Linked DNA regions of Sus scrofa. The protein of the gene in region 1 binds, or shares a complex with, the protein of each later gene. Links are inferred from orthologs where the notes say so. Each region holds a gene or a part of one and is shown on either strand. Other genes may lie near its edges.

Region 1 (3,500 bases):
GAGAAGGGTGACAGACAGCTCTAGCCTCATAACAATCTTTTTCATAGAGATTCTGGGACATTTGTGTGTTTCTGTGAGGGTTAAACGCTTTCCTGCTTACCCTGCATCTCTGTCCACAGCGGGATCAGGGTCAATGCAGGGGCCACAGACACCTCAGTCAACCAGCAGTTCCATGGCAGAAGGAGGAGACCTGAAGCCACCAACTCCAGCATCCACACCACACAGCCAGATCCCCCCATTGCCAGGCATGAGGTGAGGCCAGGAGCAGGGGCAGGTGCTTTGGGGAATCCTGGGCCCGAAGTGCATGAGCTCCTGTGCAGCTCAGGGGGTCCCTGGTCTCCCGACCAGTGAACCCATGTGCCTCGCGTTATTGGAGTAATAGCTTCGTTTGGGGTCTAATGAGCTTTCCTCACTCTTGAGCAGGAGCAATTCAGTCGGGATCCAGGATGCCTTTCCTGATGGAAGTGACCCCACATTCCAGAAGCGGAATTCCATGACTCCAAACCCTGGGTACCAGCCCAGTATGAATACCTCTGACATGATGGGGCGCATGTCCTACGAGCCAAATAAGGATCCTTATGGCAGCATGAGGAAAGGTGACCAACTGCAGTTGGCCTTGTGTCCTTCAGGACAGGGCCAGGGGATGGGGGGATATCTTGAGAGTGGTTCAAGGTTCCTATTGAACCATCCTCTGAGATGAGGCACTTCTGGACCTAACCCCCTCCTTCATCCTCCTTTTTTATTTCCTGCTCTTCACCGTGTCACCCCTTTACATGCCTCTTTAGATCTCTGTTTCAATCCTGTCAGAAAAATAGTTGGAACAAACCTGAGCTCTGAGAGGTCCTTGGCCTTTGGGGCAAGCAAAGTATAGGTTGTTAGGCCTGCTGAACAACCACTTTGCTCACTGTCTTCCCTTTTGCTCTCAGCTCCAGGGAGTGATCCCTTCATGTCCTCAGGGCAGGGCCCCAACGGCGGGATGGGGGACCCCTACAGTCGAGCTGCCGGCCCTGGGCTGGGAAATGTGGCGATGGGACCTCGGCAGCACTATCCCTATGGAGGTCCTTATGACAGAGTGAGGTAAGCATGGCCCCCACTCCAGTCCCACCCCAGACCCCACGGCTAGCACGGACTCAACCTGCTTCTCTGCTTTTTCTTTAGGACGGAGCCTGGAATAGGACCCGAGGGAAACATGGGCACTGGAGCCCCACAGCCGAATCTCATGCCTTCCACCCCAGACTCGGGGATGTATTCTCCTAGCCGTTACCCCCCACAGCAGCAGCAACAGCAGCAGCAGCAACGGTGAGTGAAGCTTGGTCTTGGTGCTGCTGTGGCTAAGGCTTTTCGCCATCCCACCCTGATCCTCTGTTTCTCTCCTTCCTGCAGACATGATTCCTATGGCAATCAGTTCTCCACTCAAGGCACCCCTTCCGGCAGCCCCTTCCCCAGCCAGCAGACCACAATGTATCAGCAGCAGCAGCAGGTGAGAAAGGTAGTGGGTGGGATGACACTGGTTCCTCTGAGAGCCAGTTAGAAAACCTTGGTCAAAAACTTGAGATGGTTTGGTGTTCTTCTTCCCAAATAGCCATTTTTGTCTAAAGAGCCAAGCCCTCAATCTTCTCCCTGTTTGGAGTCTAATCCAGTCTCTAGTTCTCTGCAAGTGTTAGAAACAGGCCTTATTTTGATTTTTAAACTTTGCTACGTTTTTCTACGTAGAGCAAGGGAGAGACAGAGGGAACAAAGAATGGTTCTTACTTTCAGAAACAATTTCAAAAGATAACGTGTAAAGGTGATTCTTTTGTTCCCATGGAATCTGTGTCCCCTCCTCTCTCAGAGGGGCAGAAGTAAGCCCAGTACGTGTCTGATGTAGCCATCTTGTCAGCTGTAGGTCTCCTATCCCCGGGTTCAGAGTATTAATTTCCCCTCTGCTTGTCCCTATCTTAGAATTACAAGCGGCCAATGGATGGCACATACGGCCCTCCTGCCAAGCGGCATGAAGGGGAGATGTACAGCGTGCCATACAGCACGGGTCAGGGGCAGCCCCAGCAGCAGCAGTTGCCCCCAGCCCAGCCCCAGCCTGCCAGCCAGCAACAAGCTGCTCAGCCTTCCCCTCAGCAAGATGTGTACAACCAGTATGGCAACGCCTATCCTGCCACTGCCACTGCTGCTACTGAGCGCCGACCAGCAGGCGGCCCCCAGAACCAGTTTCCATTCCAGTTTGGCCGAGACCGTGTCTCAGCACCCCCTGGCTCCAATGCCCAGCAAAACATGCCACCGCAGATGATGGGCGGCCCCATACAGGCATCGGCTGAGGTTGCTCAACAAGGCACCATGTGGCAGGGGCGTAATGACATGACCTATAATTACGCCAACAGGCAGAGCACGGGCTCTGCCCCCCAAGGCCCTGCCTATCATGGCGTGAACCGAACAGATGAAATGCTGCACACGGATCAGAGGGCCAACCATGAAGGCCCATGGCCTTCCCATGGCACACGCCAGCCCCCATATGGTCCTTCTGCCCCGGTGCCCCCCATGACGAGGCCCCCGCCATCTAATTACCAGCCCCCACCAAGCATGCAGAATCACATTCCTCAGGTATCCAGCCCCGCTCCCCTGCCCCGGCCAATGGAGAACCGAACCTCTCCTAGCAAGTCTCCCTTCCTGCACTCTGGGATGAAGATGCAGAAGGCAGGTCCTCCAGTACCTGCCTCGCACATAGCACCTGCCCCTGTGCAGCCCCCTATGATTCGGCGGGATATCACCTTCCCACCTGGCTCTGTTGAAGCCACACAGCCTGTGTTGAAGCAGAGGAGGCGGCTTACAATGAAAGACATCGGTAAGGAGACCTCCTTGATTGGGTTGCTGAATCTGCCCCTTTGCATCTTGTTCATTGTTCTCTCTCCATCCCGATGTTCTGGATGAGTTAAAAGCAGGTCCAGTGTTGACTAAAAGAGAGTCCAAGAACTTTGGGTAAGGAAGAAATCATCTGATATCAGGCTTTACTAAAGGAATCGCCACACAGTGATGTCCTAAGAGAGCTTAGAAGCCCTGAGGGGCAGATGTGTGTCATCTCCCAGATGGGAACTGCCTCTCACCATGTGTTCTCTTCAGAGTAGCCTGACTGATGAGCCAGCTCTGGGGTGGGAGGGCCCCTGCCAACCTGGGCTTGGTGGATGGACGACGTGGAGGTTTATTTCAGGAACCCCGGAGGCATGGCGGGTGATGATGTCCCTCAAGTCTGGGCTGCTGGCAGAGAGCACATGGGCATTAGACACCATTAACATCCTGCTGTACGATGACAACAGCATCATGACTTTCAACCTCAGTCAGGTGAGTACAGGTGCCTGGGGAAGATTGGGAAGGCCTAGGATCTTCTTGACAAAGACAGTGCTAAGCGACCAGGGAATTAAGCCATCCCTGGTCAACATGATCTCCTCCCACTTGTTCTCTGATACCTTTCGAGCCAGTACTTTGCCAGCAGCCATGGGCCCCCAGTACTGAGA
Region 2 (4,283 bases), on another chromosome or scaffold:
GGCTGTGCAGCTAGAAAAAGAGGAGCCAGAGTCCGACCGAGGTCAGCATGGTCCCCAAGAGTCCCGCTGAGGGTCATCTGTCCTTGGTCTCTGCACGCCAGCAGCTCTCGCATCTCTGGTGGGAGCTGCTGCATCAGCTACATTCCAACAGTCGTACTGTGAACCTGCACATTTTATGGTTGCAGCACGTACAGAGGTGGAAGTGGGTAAAATCTGCAAATGCAAGCAAGCTGAGGATGTTTTTGGAAAGTACAGTTTCCACGGCAGGTGGAGTCCAAGAGACCTCAAGGCTGCGAGCAGAGAACAAAGGCGGATAACGGGCAGCCACGGGAGCCGGGAACTCAGGACAAGCCAGGTCCCTCCACATCCCACCAAGACTAGCCCGCGGGCGAGGAGAAGGGAAGGGAGGGGAGGGGACCCCGGGCGGGCGGGAGGGGCAAGGGGCGGGGACCCCCAGAAGAGGAGGAGGGGGCGGGCGGCGGAGACCCCTGGGACGGAGGGGGCGGGGACATCCTCGAGGGACGGAGGGAGAAGGGACCCTCGGCCTGGAGAGCGGGGGGAGGGGAGGGAGGGGCAAGAGAGGTGGGGACCCCCGGGAACGCCAGGAGGGGGCGGGGCGGCGGGGAACCCTGGGTCGGAGTGGGGGGGATCATCTGGGAGGGACGGCTGGGAGGGCGGGAGAAGGGGCCCTCCGGATGGAGGGCGAGCGGAGGGGAGGGGACCCCTGGGAGGGAGGGGTTAGGAGGTGGGGACCCCCGGGAAGGCGAGGGGGCGGGGCCACCGGGAGGAGGGACCGCGGGAGGCGGCGGGAGGAGGGCCCCTCGGGGCTTAGGGGCAGGGGGCGGGGCCCCTTGGGAGGCGGGGCGGGGCGGGGGCGGGGCGGCGGGGACCCCCTGGCCGGAGGGGGCGGGGGCCCCCGGGAGGGAGGCGGCGGGGGCGGGGACCCTCGGCTGGAGGGCGAGGGGCGGGGCGCGGCGGGGCGGGGAGCCCCGGTGGGAGGAGAGGGCTGACGTGCGAGGGGCCGGGCCGGGCCGGGGGGCGGCGGGCCGGGGCGGGGCTGGGGGCTGAGGCAGCGGCGGGAGGTGGGGCCGCGGAGCGCGCCGGGCTGCGGCGGCCGGGAGGCGGGGAGACGGGCGCGGGCCGCGCGGGGCCGAGGGGAGCGGCCCGGGGCCGGCGGGCGCGGCGGCGGCGGCGGTGGCCGAGGGCCCGGCGGGCGCGCACGGCGGCGGGCGCGGCGGGCGCGGCGGCGGCGGCGGCGGCAGGGCGGCGGGCTCGGCGGCGGCGGCGGCGGCGGGCGGCGCGCTGGCGGCGGCCATGGCGGTGGCGGCGGCGCTGGCGGGCCGCGGGGCGCGCGGAGGCAGGGGCCGGCCCCCGGGCGGCGGGCGGGCGGAGGGGGCGGGGCCCGGGCGGCGGGCGGCCCGCGCGGCGGCGGCGGCGGCGGCGGCAGCGGCGGCGGCGGCCGGGACGAGGCGGCGGCGGCGGCGGCGGCGGCGGCGCGGGGCGCTCGGGCTGATGGCGGCGGCGGGCGGCCCCGGGTCGGCGCTGTCCCCGCGGCCGTGCGACAGCGACCCGGCCACGCCCGGAGCGCAGTCCCCGAAGGTGAGGAGCGGGCCGGGCCGGGCCGGGCCGGGGGTGGCGGGCGGGGAGGGGCCTGCGGGCGGCGGGCTGGTGCGTCCGGGCCGCCTGTCCCGGCGCCGCGGCCCAGCCCCGCGCGGCGCCCCGTCCTTTTGGCGGTTTCCGCGCCGGTTCCCGGGGCCGTCGTCCTCGCCGTGGAATCAAACTTTCCTCCCGGGCGGAAACACTTTCCTCGGCGGCGGCGGCGGCGGCGGCCTGGGGCGCCGTGTGCGTTTGGGAGAGTAGCTCGGGAGGAGTTGAGTCCTTGGGCGAAACAGACGCGGAAAGCACTGCAAACACGCTGTCCCGGTGGCGGACTCAGCTGGGGGCCGCGGCCGTGCTCCGCGGCGCTGAAATCCCCAGGCAGACTCGGAGTTTCGTGGCTCGTACTGTGGGGACGTGTTTGTAAGGTCAGAGTTGTGCAGAAAATCGAGATGAGCGTGAAAACCTCTTGTTTTGAAGTGAGTGTACGGGTTCGTGACAGGGGAGCGGAGCGTGCCCTGTTACTGAAGCTGGACGGGGGGCCGGGGGCCCTGCAGACGGCCCTGCGCGAAGCCTGGCTCCCGGCCTTGGCCGCTGCCCGGGCTCAAGACCCCACCTGTGCGAGCGGCTGGCCCCGGGCCCACACCGTCGGCTTCCACAGTGCAGGGCTCGCCCTGCCCAGCTCGAGGGGTCTGTCCCAAGAGCATTTCATCTGAAGGTGGTAGCCACCTGTGACTCAGATGCAAGTAGCTGGCCATCTTAACACCCGGGTTTCTGTGTCAGCATCGAGGGTGCAAGCACTTCTCTCTTGGTTGCCATCATGTTATGGGAATGTGTTGCAGTGATGGCTCTCTAATGTCCACTTTGTGTATAATCCATTTGCCTAGGACTTGTAATAGCCAACTCAAACACTACATGTGAAATTGTGGTTTCAACTTTTTTGAGGACTTTGCATTTTTAACTTTTTTTTTTTTTTTAAAGGGCCACATGTGCAGCATATGGAAGTTCCCAGGCTAGAGATGAACTCGGCCTATGCCACCCACATTCACTGCAACGCCAGATCCCACGGAGCCCAGTCTGCGACACACACAGCAGCTTGGAGCCATGCTGGATCCTTGAGCCCCACTAAGCAAGGCCAGGGATTGAAACTGCATCCTCATGGATGGTAGTCGGGTTCGTTGCCACTGAGCCACAACAGGAACTCCGCATTTTTAACTTTTTGTCTCTTTTTTGGTATCTTAAATTTTTTAGCCAAGGGAAATATACTTAAACAAATTGACGTAAAAGTCCTTAAAGTGCTAAGAAGCAAGTGAGATAGATAGGAAATGATACTTGAATGCTTATCGAATATGAAACCTATCAATTGGGAGACTTACTGTTAATTGTACGTTTTTGGAGGATAGATTTAGACTCTTCATCTCCTACCTGGTTGCTCTCTCTCAGTAGGAGTGTAAAGAGCTCTTTAACTGAGTGCTCACTTGCTAAGAACTGAAGAGGAGACTCACGGTTTTTGCTCTTTGGTAAAGAGTCTGAGTAAATTCCTAACAGGTGGAGCCATGTGAGATGTGACACTGTCGTCATGGTCGTAGTGACTGACTTGTATTGGGCACTTAGTTGTTTGCTAGGCTTTGCTCTGAGTGCTTCCCATGTAGTCGCTCTTTTAATTCCTGCCTGAGCCAAGGCCTGGGGCACTGCCCCATCTAGGTTTTGCAGATGAGGGTGGCTCCCAGAGGACAACCACTCAGCCCCCAAAGCCAGTGCCCAGTGGGATTCCAGGCCGCCCAGCTTTCTGTGCTCGACGAACTGCATACTCATTGCCTCTGCCTTCTTAGAACCATGGGTTTAACAAAATTGATTTTTTAAAAACCCATTTTAGTCCTGGAATCTTGTTTTTTTTTTTTTTTTTTTTTTTTTTTGGCCAAGCCTGTGCTGCGGTGACAGCGCCTATGCCCTGAAGGCGCTCCCTCAGTCTGCTCTTTTTAAGCCTTATGCTGTTAATTCTTAGCTAATATATGATTAAATCGACTTCCTAACCTTTGTTGCCTCATTCATTTCCCTAATGAAGCGGTCTGACGGCCTTGATACGGTCAGGTAATGGAAAACATCACTTAAAAAAAAATATATATGTCTTTTTGCTATTTCTTTGGGCCGCTCCAGTGGCATATGGAGGTTCCCAGGCTAGGGGTCAAACTGGAGCCACAGCCACCGGCCTGCGCCACAGCCACAGCAACGCGGGATCCGAGCCGCGTCTGCAACCTACACCACAGCTCACGGCAACGCCGGATCCTTAACCCACTGAGCAAGGGCAGGGATCGAACCCGCAACCTCATGGTTCCTAGTCAGATTCGTTAACCACTGCGCCACGACGGGAACTCCACTTAAAAATATTTTAAGCCTCTTTTTTGGGGAGGTAGTGTGTGTTATTTTACGTGTGTATATATATATATATATATTTTTTTTTTTTTTTTTTTTTGCTAAATTTTTGTAGTGTAAGAAAAATTATCAGGATTGGTAATCTTTTTTTAGTCCTGTGTGTCTTCTTCAAAGATCAAGGATTTAAAAGATAGCCAGTAAACCAGGTATGAGTTGAGTTGAACACTAAATAATCCATACATTTTTATCCTTGCTGGCTAGGAGGGTTTGCTTTCATTTCAGAGGACTGCAGCAGTCTTACGTGTGTTATTAAA
Region 3 (3,500 bases), on another chromosome or scaffold:
TGGCAGGCCAGGAAGAGGAGGAAGCCCTGGAGGGGCTGGAGGTGATGGATGTTTTCCTCCGGTTCTCAGGGCTCCACCTTTTCCGGGCCGTGGAGCCAGGGCTGGTGCAGAAGTTCTCCCTGCGTGACTGCAGCCCTCGGCTCAGCGAGGAACTCTACCACCGCTGCCGCCTCAGCAACCTGGAGGGGCTGGGGGGGCGCGCCCAGCTCGCCATGGCTCTGTTTGAGCAGGAGCAGGCCAACAGCACCTAGTCCACCCCGGGGCCCCGCCACCGCCAGCCACCTAGTTCCCTTTCCGGCCTCAGCCCCAGGAAGGCCAGGCGAGATGGACGGACAGATGGAGAGCTTGTTGCTGTATTTTTTTTAATAAGAAAATGTTATTAAAAGTGTCTTCTGCCAAACCGTTTTTAGGTCTAGGGCAAATGGAGTGAGGCGGCTCTGCGGGAGGGGTGAGGAACTGCCCAGAGGGACCCACGGCCTGCCCCTTCCTCCTCCCTCCCCAGTTGCCAGTGACCACACGAGTGCCATCAGATGAATGACCTTTAATCCGGTCCCCACCTCGGCCGCAAGGCATCAGGAGTGACGGCAGTGCCCGAGGTGACAGGGCAGGGGCCCAGGGGCCCACAGCAGCGCTCGTGCCCAGGGCTCCTAGGTGTTGCGCACAACCAGCGACTGCTCCAGCTCCTGCCTGCGCTGCTGGATCTTTAGAGAGGGGAGCAGGAGCCGGGTTACCGTGTTCCCGGTGAGTGACAGGACCACCCCCCCCACCCCCGGCCCTGGAGGCGCAGGGGGAGCAGGGAGCCTCCCCTGCGTGGTGACGGGGAGGGTGGAGTGGCTGTAGAGGCTGAGCAGGGAGTGGGGGAGGGTGCGGCTGGAGGTGTCCTGGGCCCTCCTCACCTTGCAGTAGAAGTAGCGGCTGACAGCTTCCTGGGACCAGGGCTGGTGGTAGAACTCAGCCCGCCGCTCCTCCTCAGGGTTGCCTGCCACGTCTGTCATCACCTGGGAGGGAGCAGCGGGTCAGCCCTGAGCCCGGATCCCCTCCAGCCCCTGGGCACAACGTTTACTGTCTTCCCAATGTGCTTGTCTTCCATCCAGTGCTCCCTGAGTCCCCTTCACCTTGAGGTCCCGGCTCTGGGAGCGGAGGAGGTCTTGGATGTAGCCTTTGGGGTCTCTGGAGAAGCTTAGCATGAAGTCCCTCTGGATCTTGAGCTGGTTTATGGATTCAATCGTCTCGTGGATCTACAGGTAGAAAGACAGATGCTTTCACCTGGCCTTGCTGATGTGGGCGAGGATGGGAGGGGGAAGGGAGGCGGGGGGAGGGGTTTGCTGCTGTTCCTTTGAAGGGCTGTCCCTCAGGTCCCCTGGGGCTGGACTGGGCCTCTGCAGTCCCAGGGAAGGGGGGATGGGCGGAGCTCCAAGTAGCAAGGCAAGGCCCACCTCCCCTTCTTCTCTCCATAGGCCCGTGTTCTCGTCTGTTTTGTCTGTGCTTGTGTCATTTTGGGGTTGATGTCCCACTCCAGCTCTGGGCTCTGGCCCCACCTTACTGTCCAGAGCGCTGATCTCCTGCTGGTTGGCTGTGGACAGGAGGAAGCTGCTCATCTGTCCCTTCAGTGGCTCCTCTACCTCCACGTCAATGTCGTAGCACGCTGTCTTCTTCTGGTCCGACGGGTCCACGCTGCCAGGGAAGTCCAGCCCTTGGTGTCCTTGCTGCCCCACAGAGGCCAAGGGGAGGGAAGGGGCCCCGAGTGGGAGGCAGCGGGAGGGACTGAGAGGCCAGCCCCCCCCCCCGCCCCCACAATGACTCCCTGTTCTGAGAGCGAACTGGGGCCTCACCTGATGACGTGGTTGATGACAATGGGGTCAGGGGGCAACAGCAGAGCTGTGAGGCGCTGGGGGATCTCAGAAAACTTCAGCCGGGGACAATCAAAAATCTGAAGTAGGAGAGAGAGATCACTCGTGCCGCATGTTTGGAAGAGCACACATTCCCTTCTGAAAAGGCCTGGGGAAGCCAGAGCCCACGGGGCTGGGCAGGGGCTGCCAGTGGGGCGGGTCCATGCAGCGCATGGTTGACAGCGCCAAGGCCTGGGCTGCTGGCCTGGGTAGAAATCCTGCTTCCACCACTTCCTGTGCAGCTGAGCAACTTACCCAACACCTCGGGCCTCAGTTGCTTCATCTCTAGAAAGGGGATGATAATAGCGCCCATCTCACGGGGTGGCTGTGAGGTTAGAGTCAGCACACATAACGGGCTCGGACCAGTGCCTGGCACATGGTAAGTGCTCAATAAACACTGACTTTATTTTTACCACTCAGGTTTATCTGCTGTTTTTCTTTAAAAATTATTGTTGGGGTTCCCATCAAGGCACCGCGGGAACAAATCTGACTAGGAACCATGAGGTTGCAGGTTCGATCCCCGGCCTTGCTCAGTGGGTTAAGGATCTGGCATTGCCGTGAGCTGTGGTGCAGGTTGCAGATGCGGCTCGGATCCTGCGTTGCTGTGGCTGTGGTGTAGGCCGGCGGCTATAGCTCTGATTTGACCCCTAGCCTGGGAACCTCCATATGCTGTGGGTGCCCTAAAAAGTAAAAATATAAAAATAAATAAATAAAATTTAAAATAAATAAATAAAAATTATTGTTAATGATCATCTCCACTTTGGTAGAATTTTGTCAGGTCACTTCCACAGCAGTTTGTCAGCACCCTCCTTACTGTAAGAGAAGGAATAAGGCTCAAAATAGCAAAGTCATTTATCCAGAGTCCGGAGCCAAGACTGGAACCTGGGGATCCTCACTCCAAGTACCAAGGATATGCTCCCCAAAGCTGCTGGATTCGCAGGGCTCCGATTCCCCAGCCTGGGTGGGCTAAGACGGCTGTGGCACGGAGCGGGGCGAGGAAGAGCCTGGACTCTGGCTCTGGCAGCCGGACCAGGACTGTTTACCGTTTCTGATGCAGTCAGGAGGGGAGAGGTGCTGTTACCTTAGTGGAGGCACTTCCCCTCCCGGAAACTGCCTGCTCCCCGTGGCCCTGGGTTCGAGAGAGAGGGTACCTGCTGGAAATACTTGTCCCCGTTGATGTACTCCTTGTCGTGAGAGTCCTGCAGCCTGTTGGTCTTCACGTACTGCCACAGGGCCTGGACAATGGCTGAGCGGCTCTGCGTGTGCAGCCCCAGCAGCCGGGCCAGGCGGGGATCCAGTTTGAACTGGGGGGGCTGGGGAAAGGTGACCATGCAAGTTAGACAAAGGCGGGCGTGGAGGGAGCGCAGGGCCAGGCAGCTTGGGACGTAGGGGGGGGATGTGGTGGTCGGGCTCCGTGGAAACATGCTTTCGGAGCGGGGGTGGGAGGTGTGAGGAGCCTGGGGCCCCCCTGTCTGGTCACCCTGTCCCGGGAGGGGGCTGGGGTGTCTGGGGGCACGGACCTGGTAGTCCAGCATGAGGAGCAGCGTGCAGCGCACGCTCAGGTCCCCCGGCCTCTTCACCTGGAACCCGTCCGTCTCCTGAGTTGTGGGC
Region 4 (4,138 bases), on another chromosome or scaffold:
TTAAGGGAAAGGAGAGAGAGACTCAGAAGGCACGCAGAGAAAATGCTAATGTCGTTCAGCCCCGTTTCATTGTCAGGAGGGACACGTGAGGATAAAAACATAGCTCTCCAAACCTTTCTCCCTGCTCCCCTCCTCCCAGCACCGCCATCTATCCCTTCGGCCTGAAGTGTCTCTGCGCTTTGTTCTAATTTATCCCATGCATAATTTATTCATGTGTGTATTGTTTCCTGATAAGCAACTTTTAAAAACAAATGAAATATACAAGATGATCTATTAAACAAAGTGTTTTTAAAAATAAAGGCCGATGATGTAGATCTCCCGGTAACAACGTGCGTGCCCCTGCGCTAGAACTTTAAAAGCCGTCCAAGGCACAGAAGGCTGGGCTGGTAGGGGTATTGTTTATACCTCCTTATCCCCAGGGAAAGGGGTCAAGATGCAAAAAGGAGCAGCTAATTATAAATGACCACTCAACTCCCACCTAGAAAAAGCAGGCTGGATGTCAAGGGTATGCTAAGATGTAGGTGTGTGTGACGACACAAAATTACAAATACATGGCATTGCAACTGTTTCTAATTATACAAAGTACAAGTGTAATAATTCAGAACTAATTCCAATAACCAGCCTGCTTCTCTCTCCCTTCCCCCACTTCTAACCCCACCCTATACAGATACCCTCCCCAAACATGTAGTCTTCTGCTGTCCAAAAACAAAAAACAAAAAACCGGAGCCGGTAGTAAAGAGCTAAAGAGCGTAGAGATATTGCCCCCGCCAGCGTATAAACGGGCCCAGGGGTAACTAGGGTACTGCTTTCCCAAAAGGAAACAAACCTGGCACACATGTGAAATAGATCCTCTAACTTGAGTTTACCAGGTGGCATCAGCTCGGCTACGCGATTTGGGCTGGAAATGTGAAAACTGCAAATCAGCTGTGGGTTCGGTAAAAACTCACAGCATCAGCGGTGTAGCAGCGCGAGGGACCGGGAGAGAGGATGCGGTGAAGTTACGCCCATTTATTCTGCCATAAAACATTTTCTATCTTGGGTGAAACGCTGTAGCGTTCAAGTGTAGTGTATCAGAGCTTCCAAGCGAGAACTGAAGCCGAGAGCTGCTCTCTAATCAGCCTCAGCTCCCAATGTCCTCTTAGGGTTAATACATATTTATACATTTAAAACTCCAAGATCTGGGACATTCCTAACCTTTTCTCCTACTACCGATAGGAGATAAGCTGGTGCAAACACGTCCCATTCTCCCCGCGAGTTCCTTCGTGTTAAGAACTCCCCTGCCGCCCCCCTCCCCCAGTGCGAACGTGGCTTTCAACTCCAAGAGGAGCCTCGGGTGCGAACGTGGATGCGCTGAGTTGAAAGAACCTAGGTGGGCATCCTCCAGGCACTGGCGAGAGAATTCGCCATGAAATGCCCTCCCCCGCACCTCCCCCTCCCCTTGCCCGCGGCTTCCAGCCTAGCTGCGAAGTCATAATCCCAGGGGTGCAAGCCCCCACCCACGTCGCGCTGCGATCCGGAGGGAGTGCCCCTCTGCCAACATTACTGCCAAGAGCACCCCTTTTAGAGCGACGCTAGTTTTCCGAAGCCACCCCCGGCTCCGCGATCGCTAGCGGACTTGGCGGCTTAACAGTTCCACGGATTGGAAGGAAGGAAGGAAGCCAGGATAAAAAGGAGGGGGAAGGAAGGCGGGCAGGAATTGGCTGTCGGACCTGGGGACTGGCCCCCGCGTGTCCTCGCCCAGCCCGCCCCCCCTCCGTCCCGGATCTGGGCGTCCGTTCAAAGTCTCCCGGCTGTGGCCAGAGGCACCTGCCCCTAGCTCTGGCCGAGAGCAGACGCTACCCGCTCGGGCGGGGAGCCCCAGGCTGCCTCTCGCCAGCCTCGACTATTCACCCAGAGGAGGCAAGAACACCATTCATAAGACCTGCAGCTTCCCAGTCTCCAAATCAACCCCAAGTTAACCCGAGTCGTTAATTTATTACAGGCAGTTCCCCACAAACAACACCCGGAGACACACCGGCGACCGCCCGAAGCGCAGTCAAGCTCTGGGGGCTGCCCCGTCAGGAAAGCCCCGGGCAACCACCTGGGCCCCAGGGCTCCCGGGACCCGGTGCTCCCCCTGCGGTCCTCCCAACTCCGGAAGGTTTGCACAAACTCCCCGCAAGCGATCAGAAGGCGGAGAGCGCCCTGAAAACTCCGGAGCTGCAGCGGTCCGCTCACCCCCGCCGACCTAGCATCGGGGCGGGGGCTGCGGGCTCCAGAAGCACCGGGCTCAGCCAAGTGCACCCAGGCGGCCCCAGCCTGGCTCTCGCCCCCAGCTGAGCCGCCCCCCGCGCCGCGCTCACCGCCCGGAGAAGCTGGGCACTCTGGGGACCGTGCTGTCCCTGAGCTGCCCAGGATCCCCTCGCTGTAGAGCACTCGAGCGCCTGGCTCCCCTGCCAGTAACCCCTCTCCCTCAGTCCGCCAATTTAGAAGAACACAAATGTACCAATTTTCCTCTTCTTAATTGCCTCTCCTGACATTTCTGCGCGCCCGGGTTAAAAAAAAAAAAAAAATGAAGAAGTAAGAGCTGAAAGAAAAGAGAGAAGCCCCACCGCGGCTGTAGGCGCCTGCAAGCGCAGTGCATTGGCAGCGCTCGGCACGCAGAAGGCGCCTTTTTTTTCATATTGAAACCACGAGGAAAATGTACATTTTTTAGTCTTACTTACGCTTTCAGGGGGTTGTGAATGACAGTCGCCATTTTGCTACAATGTAACAGAATATTGTCTGTCTCAGAGTTCTAAAGGTTCGCTCAGGGGAAGCGGCGAGCCAATCAGAGCACGGGATACCGGCCCGCTGGCCAATCGGCGCGGCTGGTCGCCAGGTGGGCGGGGCCTGCACGGTGGTAGTTATTAGGGGAGCTGTCAAAGCCCAGAGGTCACTCCCTTTTGTAGAGCCCGAGAGCAAGCAGGTCTTAAAGGGGCAGTACCGCGCGTAGAGCTCCTTTTCGGATGAGGGAAAGTGGAGACGCACGAGAGTATTCTAGTTTGGTTTGAATCCTTACTTTCTAAACAACTGCAGAGAGTTGCGCTCCTGGACAGAAATATTTAAGTCCTGGACAGAAAATATTTAAGTATTGCAAGCAAACCGTTGAACCCTATTCATTAGCTTTTGGCTTTACTGTTACGTTTTTAATCCCCCAAAGGACAATTCCCCTCGTTCCAGTGCAAAAATTGGAAGGGTGCCGTTTCGTCTAATTACTACACGTGTCCTGCCGCTTACTAATGCTCTGGGTCCTGCGGCTTTTTAATATTCTCATTCCTGAAGTGTTGTCTTTATCTCGGCCACCTTCCTCTGATTTCTTGGAACTGGTGCCGCCGTTCCTGGCGACTCCAGGACAGCAACTCCCCTCCCCCTGGAATGTCTCAATGTCAGGCTCGTTCCCTCCAGCAGCCAGGCTTTCCTTACTTAATACGCGGTGGTCACTCAGGCAATTGCCCACTGCCACCTCCTCTGTCCTCGCACAAACCAGAAACTTCGGAAATTAAATGGTCAGAGAGCTGGAGAGCCAACTGGGGCCTGGCGCTCTGACCTTTAGGCTTAGGGGAGGGGTGGTTTAAGAGAACTTTTGCAAACGCTTTCTGCTCTTCGGAAAGAGTAACGAGACAAAGTTGTGGAACCTAGATGGGTGTTGCCAGAGTCCCTTTCGGGGAGTAGCATACGCGATTCCGGCGTCACCTTTCATTGATTAGATAAAAAGGTGAAAAGAATTTGCTAATGAATAATCAGATGTGACCTGAGGCGTTCAGAGAATGTGTCTGCTTCAAGTCCGTGCGAACTCCTCACTGGCGAAGCCCTGACAAAACTGAGAGACTTCTGTGAAGCCAGGCTTCCACTGAGGAGCCAGGCAGCTCAGGGTGGATGAAATCGCACTAAATCATGAATAGGGGCCTCGTTAGCATACAGAAATCTGGCTACTATCCAAAGTTGTTTAATGAGGTCAAATAGCTAAGATAGTGGGGGAGGGGTGAAAAGGGGGGAGAGGAGATGCCAAATTGCCAGTTCTTCAAAGCTGTGCCCTCTCACTTCCTTGCTCAGCACTCCATCCAAGCAATGAATAAAATAACAAGTTTTTAAGTTCCAGAACTTTCAGAGTGCAACTG
Region 5 (4,001 bases), about 37 Mb from region 1:
GTGCCTGGCACATGGTGGCTACTCAGTATGTTTATAGTCAACAGATCTTTTTTTTTTTTTAAGACTGCACCTAAGGCATATGGAAGTTCCCAGGGTAGGGGGTCGAATCAGAGCTGCAGCTGCTGGCCTACTGCACAGCCACAGCAACGCGGGATCCAAGCCATGTCTGCGATCTACACCTTGGCTCTTGGCAACGCTGGGTCCTGCTGATGGAGGGCAGGGATAGAACCGGAGGCTTTATGGATTCTAGTCAGGTTCTTTAACACTGAGCCACAATGGGAACTCCTCAACAAATCTCAGTGAGCATCTGTTACATGCCCAGCATTATTCTTTCTGATAATGGCTAGCTATCACCATTTCACATCTTAGTGCCTATCAGGTCCTCTTTGTGGAAGGAATGAATTTATTGAACATTGACTACCTGACAGCTAACTTTTAAAACACTTTGCCTATACTTGCTCATTTAATCCTCACAATAACCCCCATGGGGCATCACCCTCACTTCACAGAGTAGGAAACTGAGGCCCAGAAAGGTTATCATTTGTCCAAGGTCACATGGCCACGAAGTGGCAGAGCCACGATTTGAACCCAGGAAGTGTGGTTACAACTCTTAACTAGCTAGCTGTTGTTGGAGGCAAGGAAGGGGTTGTGTGGGGCGGGATCCCTGCCAGAAAGAAAGCTGGGGACCTGAGAGGGTTCTGTGGAGTTAGGAGGGACTTGGGGGGGGGCGGTGTCAGTGAACCACGTGTCCGTGGAATGTGTATGTGGGGGCGGTGTCGGTGAGCCACGTGTCGCGTGTGTACCTGTGTAAGGTGTCTTTAAGTCTCTTGACATTGGAGTGTTTGTGTGAGTGTAAATGTATGTGAGTCTGTGTGAAGGTGTGGGAGAGGGAGTGTGCGTGAGCCTGCGTGGGAGGCAGGGAGTATAGGTGTGAATGTGTGTGTAAGCTGCCGCGTGTGGGTGTGCGCGAGACCAGGTGTGCAGGTGTGAGTGTACGCGCATGTGTGAGACTCGGAGGTGTGCATGAGTGAGCGTGCGGGGATGGCTGTGCGTGCCCTGGCCCCACCTCTGACCCCGCTTCTCTGCGGGGTCCCGCCAGCCCCAGGCCGGGAACTACCACTCCCGGCATGGCCCGGGCGGGCCCGCCCCGCCGCCCTCATTGGCTGTGGCCCCGGTGCTCCCGCCCCCCGGGAATGAATGGATGGGCGGCCTCAGCGCCCGCCCGAGCGCTGGGAGGACCGGCCCGGCGGGGACCTGCTGGGGGCAGGACCCGGGGAGCAAGATGGCCACGGTCATCCCCGGCCCCCTGAGGTGCTGCGGGCCGGCGGGAGGCGGGGGGGAGGGCGCGCGGGCGGGTTTGGGCGGGCGTGTGTGTGTGTGTGCGTGTGTGTGGCAGCTGGGGGTGGGGCCGATGGGGTGTCTTGGGGGCTGTCACCGTGGGCCGGGCTGCGCCGGGTTGCGAGTATGTGACTACGGGTCTCTGGCAAGAACCTGGTCCGACGCGCTCCTCCTGGAAAAGCGGAGTGTGTGGGGAACTCAGAGTCTTCTTGGGGTTCTTTTCGGGGAAAGGGGGTCATGTCCCGCCCTGCGACCCCCGGGATTGGGGAGAGGGAGAAACTGTCTGGAGGCGCTAGGGCCTTGGTAAACTTGAGTGAAGCCCACACTACCTTTGTCTTGGAATGTAGAGTATGTGTCACTTGTTTGGGTTCTGGGTTTTTTGGATATGTGTGTGGATATGTGTTTAGTTTCTTTTATTCCACACTAGGTATCTTTAGATATTTGGGTCTTTGAGTGTGTGTGCCTGTTCTTTGAAACTGTGCATCATTTGTGCTCTGTGTCTTTGGATATGTAGGTGTGCATGTATTTATGAGCAAGTTTTTGTGTGAAGATGGGTTGATTTGTCTGTTTCTATGCTGTGTATGTATGTATCTTTGTGTGCTCCAATAGGTGATATTTGAGATGTTGGTTTCTGTACTGTGTGCCTTTGTGAATATGTGTGTGTATCCTGTGTGAATATGTGTGATTTCTTTGTATAGCGTATCTGGATAGTGTGTGTGTTTTGTGTCTTTGGCTATGTGTGTACATGCATATGTGGGTAGTTTGTTTTCCTGTTTTTTTCTCTTTTAACATTTGTGTATCTAAGTGTGTCTTTGAATGCATGAGTGAGTGTGTGTGTGGTGTGTGATCTGTTTGCATGCTGTGTGTCTTTAGATATGTGATGTATATTTGAGCACGGGTATGTGTGTGATCTGTCTCTACTTGAGATATTTGTGTTTTTCAGTAGATGTTTGTGTGTGCACATATGTGAGATGTGTCTGTTTCTCCTTTGTGAGTCTTGGGATGTGTGTTTCTTTGTGTGTGAATCCCGTGTGACTCTATGTGATTCGTTTGTGTTGTGTATTTGGACATGTGCCTGTATGGATGGGTCCCAGTGTATTTTTGTCTGTTTCTATATTGTGTGTGTTTGTATCCACTCCTTGGCTGGGGACCTGCTTGAATCCCAGCTGGGGGGCTCCTGGGTCCAGGAGCCACAGGAGGGGAGAGGGGAGGTTGGAGGAGTCCGCCCACCCATTCCCTACGAGCGGGTGGGGGAGGGGTGCTGGGCGACCTGGTGGGCTGCCCTTGCTGACAGCTGCCCGCCCGCTCACCCGCCCCTCGCAGCCTAGGCGAGGACTTCTACCGGGAGGCCATCGAGCACTGCCGCAGCTACAACGCGCGTCTGTGCGCCGAGCGCAGCCTGCGCCTGCCCTTCCTCGACTCGCAGACCGGCGTGGCCCAGAACAACTGCTACATCTGGATGGAGAAGACCCACCGCGGGCCGGGTACCCACCGGGAGGGCGGGGGCGGGGCGGGGCGGGGCGGGGCGGTGGCTGCGCGGCCTTGTTCTTACCGCCTTTCTCACGCCAGGTTTGGCCCCGGGGCAGATCTATACGTACCCCGCCCGCTGTTGGAGAAAGAAACGGAGACTCAACATCCTGGAGGACCCCAGACTCCGGCCCTGCGAGTACAAGATCGGTGGGTGGAGCTTCGTCCTGTGCTCGGGGTGGCTCCCATCAGTGCCCACAGCACGCTTGCTAAGTGTGTGCTGATGCTGATGTTGTCTGAGCGTTCACCTCTATTCCCCTCCCAAAGTGTCTGAGTGGCTGGCTGTGTGTCTGCCAGTGTGTGTCTGGCTGTAGTCCAGAGCTTCCCCGGTTCTCCCTGAGTGACTGAACTTTGGACTGTACTTTCTCCTGACTGGGCCCCAGCCTATTCTAGGACAGAGTGGTATCTGTCATGTGTGTGCAGGTGTATCCAGTCTTTGTATCTCTTCCTTGTGGGCTGTATTTCTTTCTGTGGATGTCTGAATGTGTCTGGATGTGTGAGAGTGTTTGGTCGTAACTGTCCATTTGTAGTAGAGTGTATCTCAGTATTTGTGTCTCTTTTCAGGTGTTTCTAAGTGTATTAGAAGGTTTATTTCCTCTTGCGTGTGTCTGGTTTGAGGGTCCAACTGTTCCTGAGAGTCAGTGTATCAGGGTGTCCAACTGTCTCTTCCTTTCAGTGCCAGATGCTTTGGAAGGTCTGGGAGAAGCTCTTCCCCAAGTATCTGATCCACTAGGTGTACATGGGCTGCCTGCCTCCTGAGTCTCTGGCCTTAGCACTTCTTGACTGTGTCCCCTACTATTAGATCACTGGCTGTTTCTCTTTCCTTGTCCAAGTAGATCCAGGGTTCTGTGTGGGGCCAGGTGTATTGGAGTGTCTATCTGGCGGTGTCTGACTGCCCCAGAGGGACTGTCTCTATGTCCTATGTGTGTGTATCCACCCTGGTGACTCTCTCTAGGTGTGTCTCTGTTTCCCCTAAGAATGTTCAGGTGTTTGCTAGGGTCTGGCTGTGTCTTCCTCTTGTGGGTCTGGGCATATCTGATGGTCTAATGGTCCCTTTCTGAGTGTCTCTGGGTGGACCCAAGGGTCTGGATATTTTCCTCCATGGGTCCAGGTGTATCTGAGCATCAGGGTGTGTC
Region 6 (3,500 bases), on another chromosome or scaffold:
CAGAGCTACGGCTGCTGGCCTACGCTGCAGCCATAGCAACGCCAGATCTGAACCACACCTGTGACCTACACCACAGCTCACGGCACACCAGATCCTTAACCCACTGAGCAAGGCCAGGGATCGAACCTGTAGCCTTGCGGTTCCTAGTTGGATTTGTCTTCTGCTGTGCCACAATGGGAACTCCGAGAAACTACTTTTTGCTGGATGTCTTTTGTACCATTTGAATTTTTACCACTGAGGGTTTTGTTGTCTTTTGTTTTTTAAAATCTTTTTAGGGCCACACCCATGGCATATGGAGGTTCCAGGCTAGGGGTCTAATTGGAGCTACAGCTGCCAGCCTACACTGCAGCCGCAGCAAAGCCAGATCTGAGCCACATCTGCGACCTACACCACAGCTCATGACAATGCCAGATCCTTAAACCACTGAGCGAGGCCAGGGATCGAACCTGCATCCTCATGGATGCTATTCAGATTTGCTCCATTGACCATGATGGGAACTCTGCCATTGAGGTTGTTTTTTAAATCAACTTTATTGAGGTTTATATGCAGTATATCACACCCATTTGAAATATGGGTGAATAATTTTGGTCAAATGTGTGCATTCTGTAGCGACCACCACAAGGAAAGGGCAGAGCATTTATGTCGCACCCAAATGGTCTCTTGTGCCCTTTTGTAGTTAACCCCTTGCCCTTTAGTCTTGGACAGTCTTTTTGTTTGTTTTTCTTTTTTGCTTTTTAGGGCCACACCCATGGCATATGGATGTTTCCAGGCTAGGGGTCTATAATGGAGCTGCAACTGCCGACCTACGCCACAGCCACACCAGATCCGAGCCAGGTCTGTGACCTGCACCACAGCTCATGGCAACGCCAGATCCTTAACCCACTGAGCAAGGCCAGGGATCAAACCCACAACCTTATGGTTCCTAGTCAGATTCATTTCCGCTGTGCCATGACGGGAACTCCTGGTTTGGACCTTTTTTTTGACTCTGTGTGATTAGGTCTTAGGGGACAAGCCCTTTACCAAGCCCTTGTTTTCCTCCCCAGTGTTGACCCGAATGATCAGAAAAAGACAGCTTGTTATGACATTGATGTGGAAGTGGACGATACCCTGAAGACCCAGATGAATTCTTTCCTACTGTCCACCGCCAGCCAGCAGGAGATTGCTACTCTAGACAACAAGGTAGGGCCCGGGCCCTGGATGATGGGGCCACCAGCCCTCTAGCTTAGCTGCTTGGCTGCTTTTCTTTTGTTGTTTTCAGTGGACATGTGGAAGTTTCTGGGCCAGGGATTGAATCCAAGCTGTAGCTGCAATCTTCGCTGTAGCTGCAGCAAAAACAGATCCTTTCACCCACGGCGCCAGGCTGGGGATTGAACCCCCTCCTCTGCAGTGACCCAGGCCGCTGCTGTCAGATTCTGCGCCACAGTGAGAACTCCTGCTTTTGAGTCTTGATATTCACTCAGAATGTATTCATACCTAGTGTATGTGAGGCACTTTGGTGCTGGTTGGAACCAGACACCCAAGTTGTGCTTCATAGCTTAATAGCTTTGGGCCTCATTTTCTGATTTGTGAACAGAGACCGTAATACCTGTTTCTCTAAGGTCGTTACAAGCATTAAAGGAGACAGTACATGTAAAGACATGACATTGTATCTGGCGCATAAGATCAAATGGTGGGGTTCTTATGTGGCTCAGTAGGTTAAGGGTCCAGCCTTGTCACTGCTATGGCTTGCCTGGCTGCTGTGGCACGGGTTCAGTCACCTGGCCCCGGGAACTTCCATATGCCAGGGGTGCGACCAAAAAAAAAAAAAAAAAAGGCAACTTTTGTTCCTATTGTTATTATCATTAACTTTAGACATAGTCTGTGCAAGTAAAACCAAAAAGGCTCTGGGAACACAAAGGAGAGCAGGCAGACTTTCCTGGAAGAGCTGACATCCCAACTACATTTTTTTTTTTTTTTTTTTTTGGTCTTTTTGGGCATGCATATGGAAGTTTTCAGGCTAAGGGTCGAATCAGAGCTGTAGCTGTCAGCCTGCGCCACAGCCACAGCCATGCCAGATCCGAGCCACATCTGTGACCTACACCACAGCTCACGGCAACGCTGGGTCCTTAACCCACTGAGCGAGGCCAGGGATCAAACCTGCATCTTCATAGATACTAGTCAGGTTCGTTAGTGCTGAGCCAGGACAGGAACCCCCCAACTAAATCTTGAAGGACAACGTGGGAGTTAATGACAGGTGAGAAAGGATGATGGCGCTTAGGGGCAGAGAGGTCAGAGAACATTCCAGAAAGAGAGGACAGGGTATATGAAGGCCCCGAGAGGTGCAGAGAGCCTGGCATGTTCAAGAAGTACTGTGTTAATCTCAGCTCAGGGCCCTGGAGAAGGAAACTGGATCGGGAAGCTGGGGTCTAGTCATGAGGCAGCTTTGATGCAGGGAGAACTGGTGTATACTTTGTCCTGAAAACTGAGGGCCTGGTGCGCATGCGTTTAGAATGATCACCGGCAGCACATGGGGAGTGAACTCTCAGGGGGCAGATCTGGCGCCAGGAAGTTAGGTGGTGGGGCAGTTAGGCGTGTGAGGTGTGCTGAGGGCCTAAACTTAGGGTTCTGACAGTGAGGATGGAGGGGAGTAGGCAGCCCGGGGAGGTGTGAAATGGCACTGAAAGGATTCGGACCCTGGATGGAGACGGCGGGGTGAGGTGTGGGGAGAAGAGGCTTTGTGCCGACCCCCAGCTCTCCAGCTAGCCACGTAGTCCTAGCACCCGGTTGGAAACAGGCTTGGGGGAGAGATGGTGCATTTCGTTTGGAGAGTTTAAGGTGCCTTGAGTGGTCAAGCAGTTGGATTGGTGGGCGTCTAGAAAACGGGCTCTGGTTTGCAGACCGGGGACTCTTCACCCTGTCAGAGGTCCTGGAAGATAGCTAAGGAGATGATGTCACCAGGAGGAGTGCAGAGAACCAGAAGAGGGCAGAGGACAAAACCCACAGACCAGAGCTTTCGAGACAGCCTTCGGCACCACCTCTTTTCTGCCTGAGAGTGTTTCGGGACCCCTTTGTGCTGTGGATTAAGTGTTTACCGTGTGGCGTCCCCCACTCTGGACATTGTGGAGACTAGAATGGGGCCCACAGGGACACAGGGCATGTCACCTGTGGAACGAACATGAACCGGAGCCAGGGCTGGGGGCTCTGGGCAGCAGTGCCTTTTCTGGGCCACACTCTGTTCCTGGGTTGCGAGCGGCACAAGGAGAAGTCAGACGCTGTCTGCCGTTTGGCCCTGTGTTCCCCCAGCGTGGAGATGTCAGGAGCTTCTTCCTTCCTTTCAGATCCATGAGACAATAGAAACTATCAATCAGCTGAAGACCCAGCGGGAGTTCATGCTGAGCTTCGCCAGAGACCCTCAGGGTTTCATCAACGACTGGCTTCAGTCCCAGTGCCGGGACCTCAAGGTAGAGGACCCGGGACAGGTGCAAAGGGACTTGAGGCCTGTGAGGCTCACAGTTGCTTTT
Region 7 (3,500 bases), on another chromosome or scaffold:
GCAGAGCAGCAGGTTCCCTGCTACCTTGAGGTCGCCGTAATTTCCTTTTCTCTCCCTGCCCTCCTTTGGTCTGCATTGGGAAAGCCTCTCCATAAGGGTCTGAAAAGTGTCCAGATGTGTGTGCAATTTTGCTAGCCACTTTCTTCTTGGATAATGGATCCATATATGATAATTGCATGTATGTGCAGTCCTTAGTCATGTGACTGGGCTCCATTAAGCCATGAATAGCGAGAGACAACTCACAAGCACTTCCATCGGGTAATATATATATATATATAAAATTTTTTTTTCCTTTTTTCCTTTCCATTCAGGGCACCCCTGCCATGCGTCGCTCCCTTGTCCCCCAGCTACGGAGTGGCAAGTTTAATGTCCTCCTGACCACTTACGAATACATTATAAAAGACAAGCACATTCTTGCAAAGGTAAGTTTAAAAAAATTCTTTTCTCTATAGTCATGAACTATTGCACTGGAGTATAAAGTCTCCTCCAGATTATTCTCACTGGTGTAATTTGATCGTTAGATGGCTTATCTCCCTCCCTCCGTCCTTCTCTCTTTTTTCCCCAGAGTCAGAAATATTAGAGGCATGGGGTTTTAACTTTATGCACGTTTTTTGGGTGGTTGTTGTGTATCATTGATCCTGGGACTCTTAGCTACCCTCTCATAGTTAATGACTTTGCATTTCTTAAAAAAAAATTCGCTTGGGTTTCTTCTGCAACCCCTTTTCTCTCTAACAGCCCTGAACATTGTGCTTGTGGAAGAAGTAATTGTTTTTGTTGCCCTGGGTTATTGTCAGTAGCATAACTTCATTCCTAGTGCCTTTGTCTCTCCAAAGATGAGCAGGCGTCTCTCCATATGGTCCTCTCCATATGAACATTTATCCAAGCCTGAGCTTTCGTGCTGTCCTTGTTTTATGTTTTTCCGAGCAAAATAGTGGGTTATTATCTTTTGAATTACTCTGGGCTGTTTCTGTGACTGTATTTGGCGCTGGGAAAGAGTTTTTTTTACCTGCAACCTACAGGTCTGCTCATTTCTGGGTCCTAAGTTGTCCTTTAGCTAAAAAATAAACATTTTCCCCCATTTATAACATCTTCCTTCCTAATATATTCATATAGAATGGTGGAAGTAGTTTCTGTCATGGAGCAAATATGAAAGCTTAATTTTTTTTTTCATTTAGTAATTTTTTTCTTTACCCTGTGGTGTTTTGAAAGCACTCTAATCTGAAACTAAGTTATGGCCGAAATTGAACAGAATCTCTATTTCTGGGGTCTTTTCTAACTCTGCATTAAACCTTTGCTCTGGGGATGAAGAGTTCCCTTCATGGCATCCTTGGAAATAACATAAAGGAAATGGGTTCCCAGGGGAGGTTTAATAATTGAGATGGCACCAGCGACAATGCTGTGTTCCTATTCTTCATACTCAGAGATGAACTTGGCAGTGTCAAAAATGATATGTTTTCAGTGTAACTGTGGGAATGTGCTTGTACATTTCAGATCCCTTAAAAAATTTTCTTTATTGTATCTTCCGCATACATATTTCAAAACTCATCAGAGGCACCTGGTAACAAGGTGTATGGCTTTTATTTGCTACTGGAGAAATGAAGATCTAGAAAAGGGCAGTAATTTTTTTTTTTCTGAGTGAAAGACCTAATTAGTAGAAGACCCAATAGCAAAATCATAGGCCTCTGATTCCTTGTTTATTATTTCCTAAGCTAAATCAGGCAGAAAGGTAGATTTGGAATATTTATTTAAATATATTTTTATCCCCTGGCATCTTTTCATGCTATTGGCAAGTTTGGGAGAATTGCTCATCTAACTTTATTTCTTAAAACCATTTTCTTAGAGACAGTGGAGGAAGAAAAAACCAGAATAAAACCCTGGTAGTTTCTTTGACCTGCACATTCCAGCCTGGCTGATGATTTTATTCCTTTTCTCTGACTTTTCTGGTGCTTCTAATGAGAAAGGCGAGGATATTATAGAATGCTTTGCTGTCTGCCTCTCTCTCTAAGAGCTTTGTAGCGGGATCCAGGGACATCTGAGCACCAGATGCTTTTCTTGGCCATTGCCACCGTTTTGTAGGGAATGGATAGGCTTAGTGGAATGTTTCTCATTGTTCTCTTTTTATGAAACAGTGACCTTGAAGAGGGCTGAAGGGTCAGGTGTGAGCCAGGAAGGGGACCGTGTGTACACTTAGGAAGGAAGAGCATGTCATAGGGTCATTGTTCATCCCTGAAGTGATGGTCAGGCTGTAGGAATAGATTGTGTTTCATGCTGAAGTTTTGGCATAAACAGAGGAATGATATTTTAGCACTGCCCTGTCTGCCATATCCTTTCATTTTAGCTACTTGAAATAGGGGTCCTAAAACTGGCAGGTCAAGAATATGTATGAACTAAGAGAACCCAGGTTGCCAGATCTTGTCATTTTTTTCTTTTCAAAGAAGCTGTATGTCCATGTTTTTGGATTTTTCTTTTTCTTTTTTTGTTTTGTTTTGTTTTGTTTTGCTTTTTAGGGCTGCACCTGCGGCAGATGGAGGGGACCAGGCTAGGGGTTGAATCGGTGCTACAGCTGCCGGCCTATGCCACAGCCACAGTAACGCCAGACCAGAGCTGCATCTGTGACCTACACTATACAGCTCATGGCAACACCAGGTCCTTCACCCACTGAGCGAGGCCAGGGATTGAACCCACAACCTCATGATTCTAGTCGGATTCGTTTCTGCTTCACCACAACGGAACTCTGTGGATGTCCAAGTTTTTGTGTGAAGTAGTCCAACTTTTTAATATTAGCAACTAGTTCAAATTTAAAAAAAAAAAAAGAAAAAGAAAAAGGAACACGAGCTGAACCCTGGAGGTAGTAGTCAGCCAAGATAATAGAAGAAAAGAGTTTTTGGCTCCAGGTACCTGCTGGCGCCATCTTGAAGAAATCAGTCATTCACTTCTGCTTCAGGTGAAGAGCTAGAATCTCTCTACTTACTTTGAGCAGAGGTAACATATCCATTAAATCTGGGATAGCTGTCATGATACAGCATTAATTGGAGTATTGGATGGGGAGACATGGGAGCTAGTCCTGGCCCAACCATTTCATTCTGGGTCCGAGTTTCCTTTTCTGTGGAAGGGTGATTTGAAATCACATTCCACTAGTCCATTCTGCTATTACATGATGTATGCCATAATCTGTCAGGTGTGGGAAATAGACTATTCAGATCCTCTTGTCCTAAGGAGTATCATGCCATATCACGCAGCAAGCATGGGTTCTTTGGTTTTCTGCACCACCGCCTCCCTGTTGGAAGTAGTTGTGTTTTTCCTTGCTCACCCCATGTTGGTCTTTCCTTTTATGTTATAGATTCGGTGGAAATATATGATAGTGGACGAGGGCCACCGAATGAAGAATCACCACTGCAAGCTGACTCAGGTCTTGAACACTCACTACGTGGCCCCCAGGAGGATCCTCTTGACCGGGACCCCACTGCAGAATAAGCTGCCGGAACTCTGGGCCCTCCTCA

What was found.
Region 2: ARID1A (region 1) and PHF10 share a complex: the UniProt entries of both Homo sapiens proteins name them as parts of the neural progenitors-specific chromatin remodeling complex. The link is inferred for Sus scrofa from reciprocal best matches to the Homo sapiens genes ARID1A and PHF10.
Region 3: ARID1A (region 1) and SMARCD3 share a complex: the UniProt entries of both Homo sapiens proteins name them as parts of the neuron-specific chromatin remodeling complex. The link is inferred for Sus scrofa from reciprocal best matches to the Homo sapiens genes ARID1A and SMARCD3.
Region 4: ARID1A (region 1) and DPF3 share a complex: the UniProt entries of both Homo sapiens proteins name them as parts of the neuron-specific chromatin remodeling complex. The link is inferred for Sus scrofa from reciprocal best matches to the Homo sapiens genes ARID1A and DPF3.
Region 5: ARID1A (region 1) and DPF1 share a complex: the UniProt entries of both Homo sapiens proteins name them as parts of the neuron-specific chromatin remodeling complex. The link is inferred for Sus scrofa from reciprocal best matches to the Homo sapiens genes ARID1A and DPF1.
Region 6: ARID1A (region 1) and SMARCD1 share a complex: the UniProt entries of both Homo sapiens proteins name them as parts of the neuron-specific chromatin remodeling complex. The link is inferred for Sus scrofa from reciprocal best matches to the Homo sapiens genes ARID1A and SMARCD1.
Region 7: ARID1A (region 1) and SMARCA2 share a complex: the UniProt entries of both Homo sapiens proteins name them as parts of the neuron-specific chromatin remodeling complex. The link is inferred for Sus scrofa from reciprocal best matches to the Homo sapiens genes ARID1A and SMARCA2.

Annotation. Positions count from the first base shown.
Region 1 is NC_010448.4:84,115,729-84,119,228, forward strand, and holds part of ARID1A (AT-rich interactive domain-containing protein 1A), read left to right. Parts: intron 1-119; coding exon 120-252; intron 253-420; coding exon 421-596; intron 597-926; coding exon 927-1,077; intron 1,078-1,158; coding exon 1,159-1,299; intron 1,300-1,383; coding exon 1,384-1,480; intron 1,481-1,941; coding exon 1,942-2,833; intron 2,834-3,196; coding exon 3,197-3,327; intron 3,328-3,500. UniProt on the Homo sapiens protein: Involved in transcriptional activation and repression of select genes by chromatin remodeling (alteration of DNA-nucleosome topology).
Region 2 is NC_010443.5:555,415-559,697, forward strand, and holds the start of PHF10 (PHD finger protein 10), read left to right. Parts: upstream 1-1,483; 5' UTR 1,484-1,512; coding exon 1,513-1,599; intron 1,600-1,650; exon of another isoform or gene 1,651-2,024; intron 2,025-4,283. UniProt on the Homo sapiens protein: Involved in transcription activity regulation by chromatin remodeling. Belongs to the neural progenitors-specific chromatin remodeling complex (npBAF complex) and is required for the proliferation of neural progenitors.
Region 3 is NC_010460.4:5,985,966-5,989,465, reverse strand, and holds the end of SMARCD3 (SWI/SNF-related matrix-associated actin-dependent regulator of chromatin subfamily D member 3), read right to left. Parts: coding exon 3,410-3,500; intron 3,203-3,409; coding exon 3,041-3,202; intron 1,931-3,040; coding exon 1,833-1,930; intron 1,675-1,832; coding exon 1,437-1,674; intron 1,239-1,436; coding exon 1,116-1,238; intron 999-1,115; coding exon 897-998; intron 702-896; coding exon 648-701; 3' UTR 346-647; downstream 1-345. UniProt on the Homo sapiens protein: Involved in transcriptional activation and repression of select genes by chromatin remodeling (alteration of DNA-nucleosome topology).
Region 4 is NC_010449.5:96,251,555-96,255,692, forward strand, and holds the start of DPF3 (zinc finger protein DPF3), read right to left. Parts: upstream 2,801-4,138; 5' UTR 2,737-2,800; coding exon 2,705-2,736; intron 2,552-2,704; exon of another isoform or gene 1,982-2,551; intron 1,370-1,981; exon of another isoform or gene 1,284-1,369; intron 1-1,283. UniProt on the Homo sapiens protein: Belongs to the neuron-specific chromatin remodeling complex (nBAF complex).
Region 5 is NC_010448.4:47,147,881-47,151,881, reverse strand, and holds the start of DPF1 (zinc finger protein neuro-d4), read left to right. Parts: upstream 1-1,201; coding exon 1,202-1,311; intron 1,312-1,414; exon of another isoform or gene 1,415-1,686; intron 1,687-2,661; coding exon 2,662-2,822; intron 2,823-2,907; coding exon 2,908-3,015; intron 3,016-4,001. UniProt on the Homo sapiens protein: May have an important role in developing neurons by participating in regulation of cell survival, possibly as a neurospecific transcription factor. Belongs to the neuron-specific chromatin remodeling complex (nBAF complex).
Region 6 is NC_010447.5:15,999,278-16,002,777, forward strand, and holds part of SMARCD1 (SWI/SNF-related matrix-associated actin-dependent regulator of chromatin subfamily D member 1), read left to right. Parts: intron 1-1,043; coding exon 1,044-1,179; intron 1,180-3,317; coding exon 3,318-3,440; intron 3,441-3,500. UniProt on the Homo sapiens protein: Involved in transcriptional activation and repression of select genes by chromatin remodeling (alteration of DNA-nucleosome topology).
Region 7 is NC_010443.5:219,742,422-219,745,921, reverse strand, and holds part of SMARCA2 (probable global transcription activator SNF2L2), read left to right. Parts: intron 1-311; coding exon 312-422; intron 423-3,340; coding exon 3,341-3,500. UniProt on the Homo sapiens protein: ATPase involved in transcriptional activation and repression of select genes by chromatin remodeling (alteration of DNA-nucleosome topology).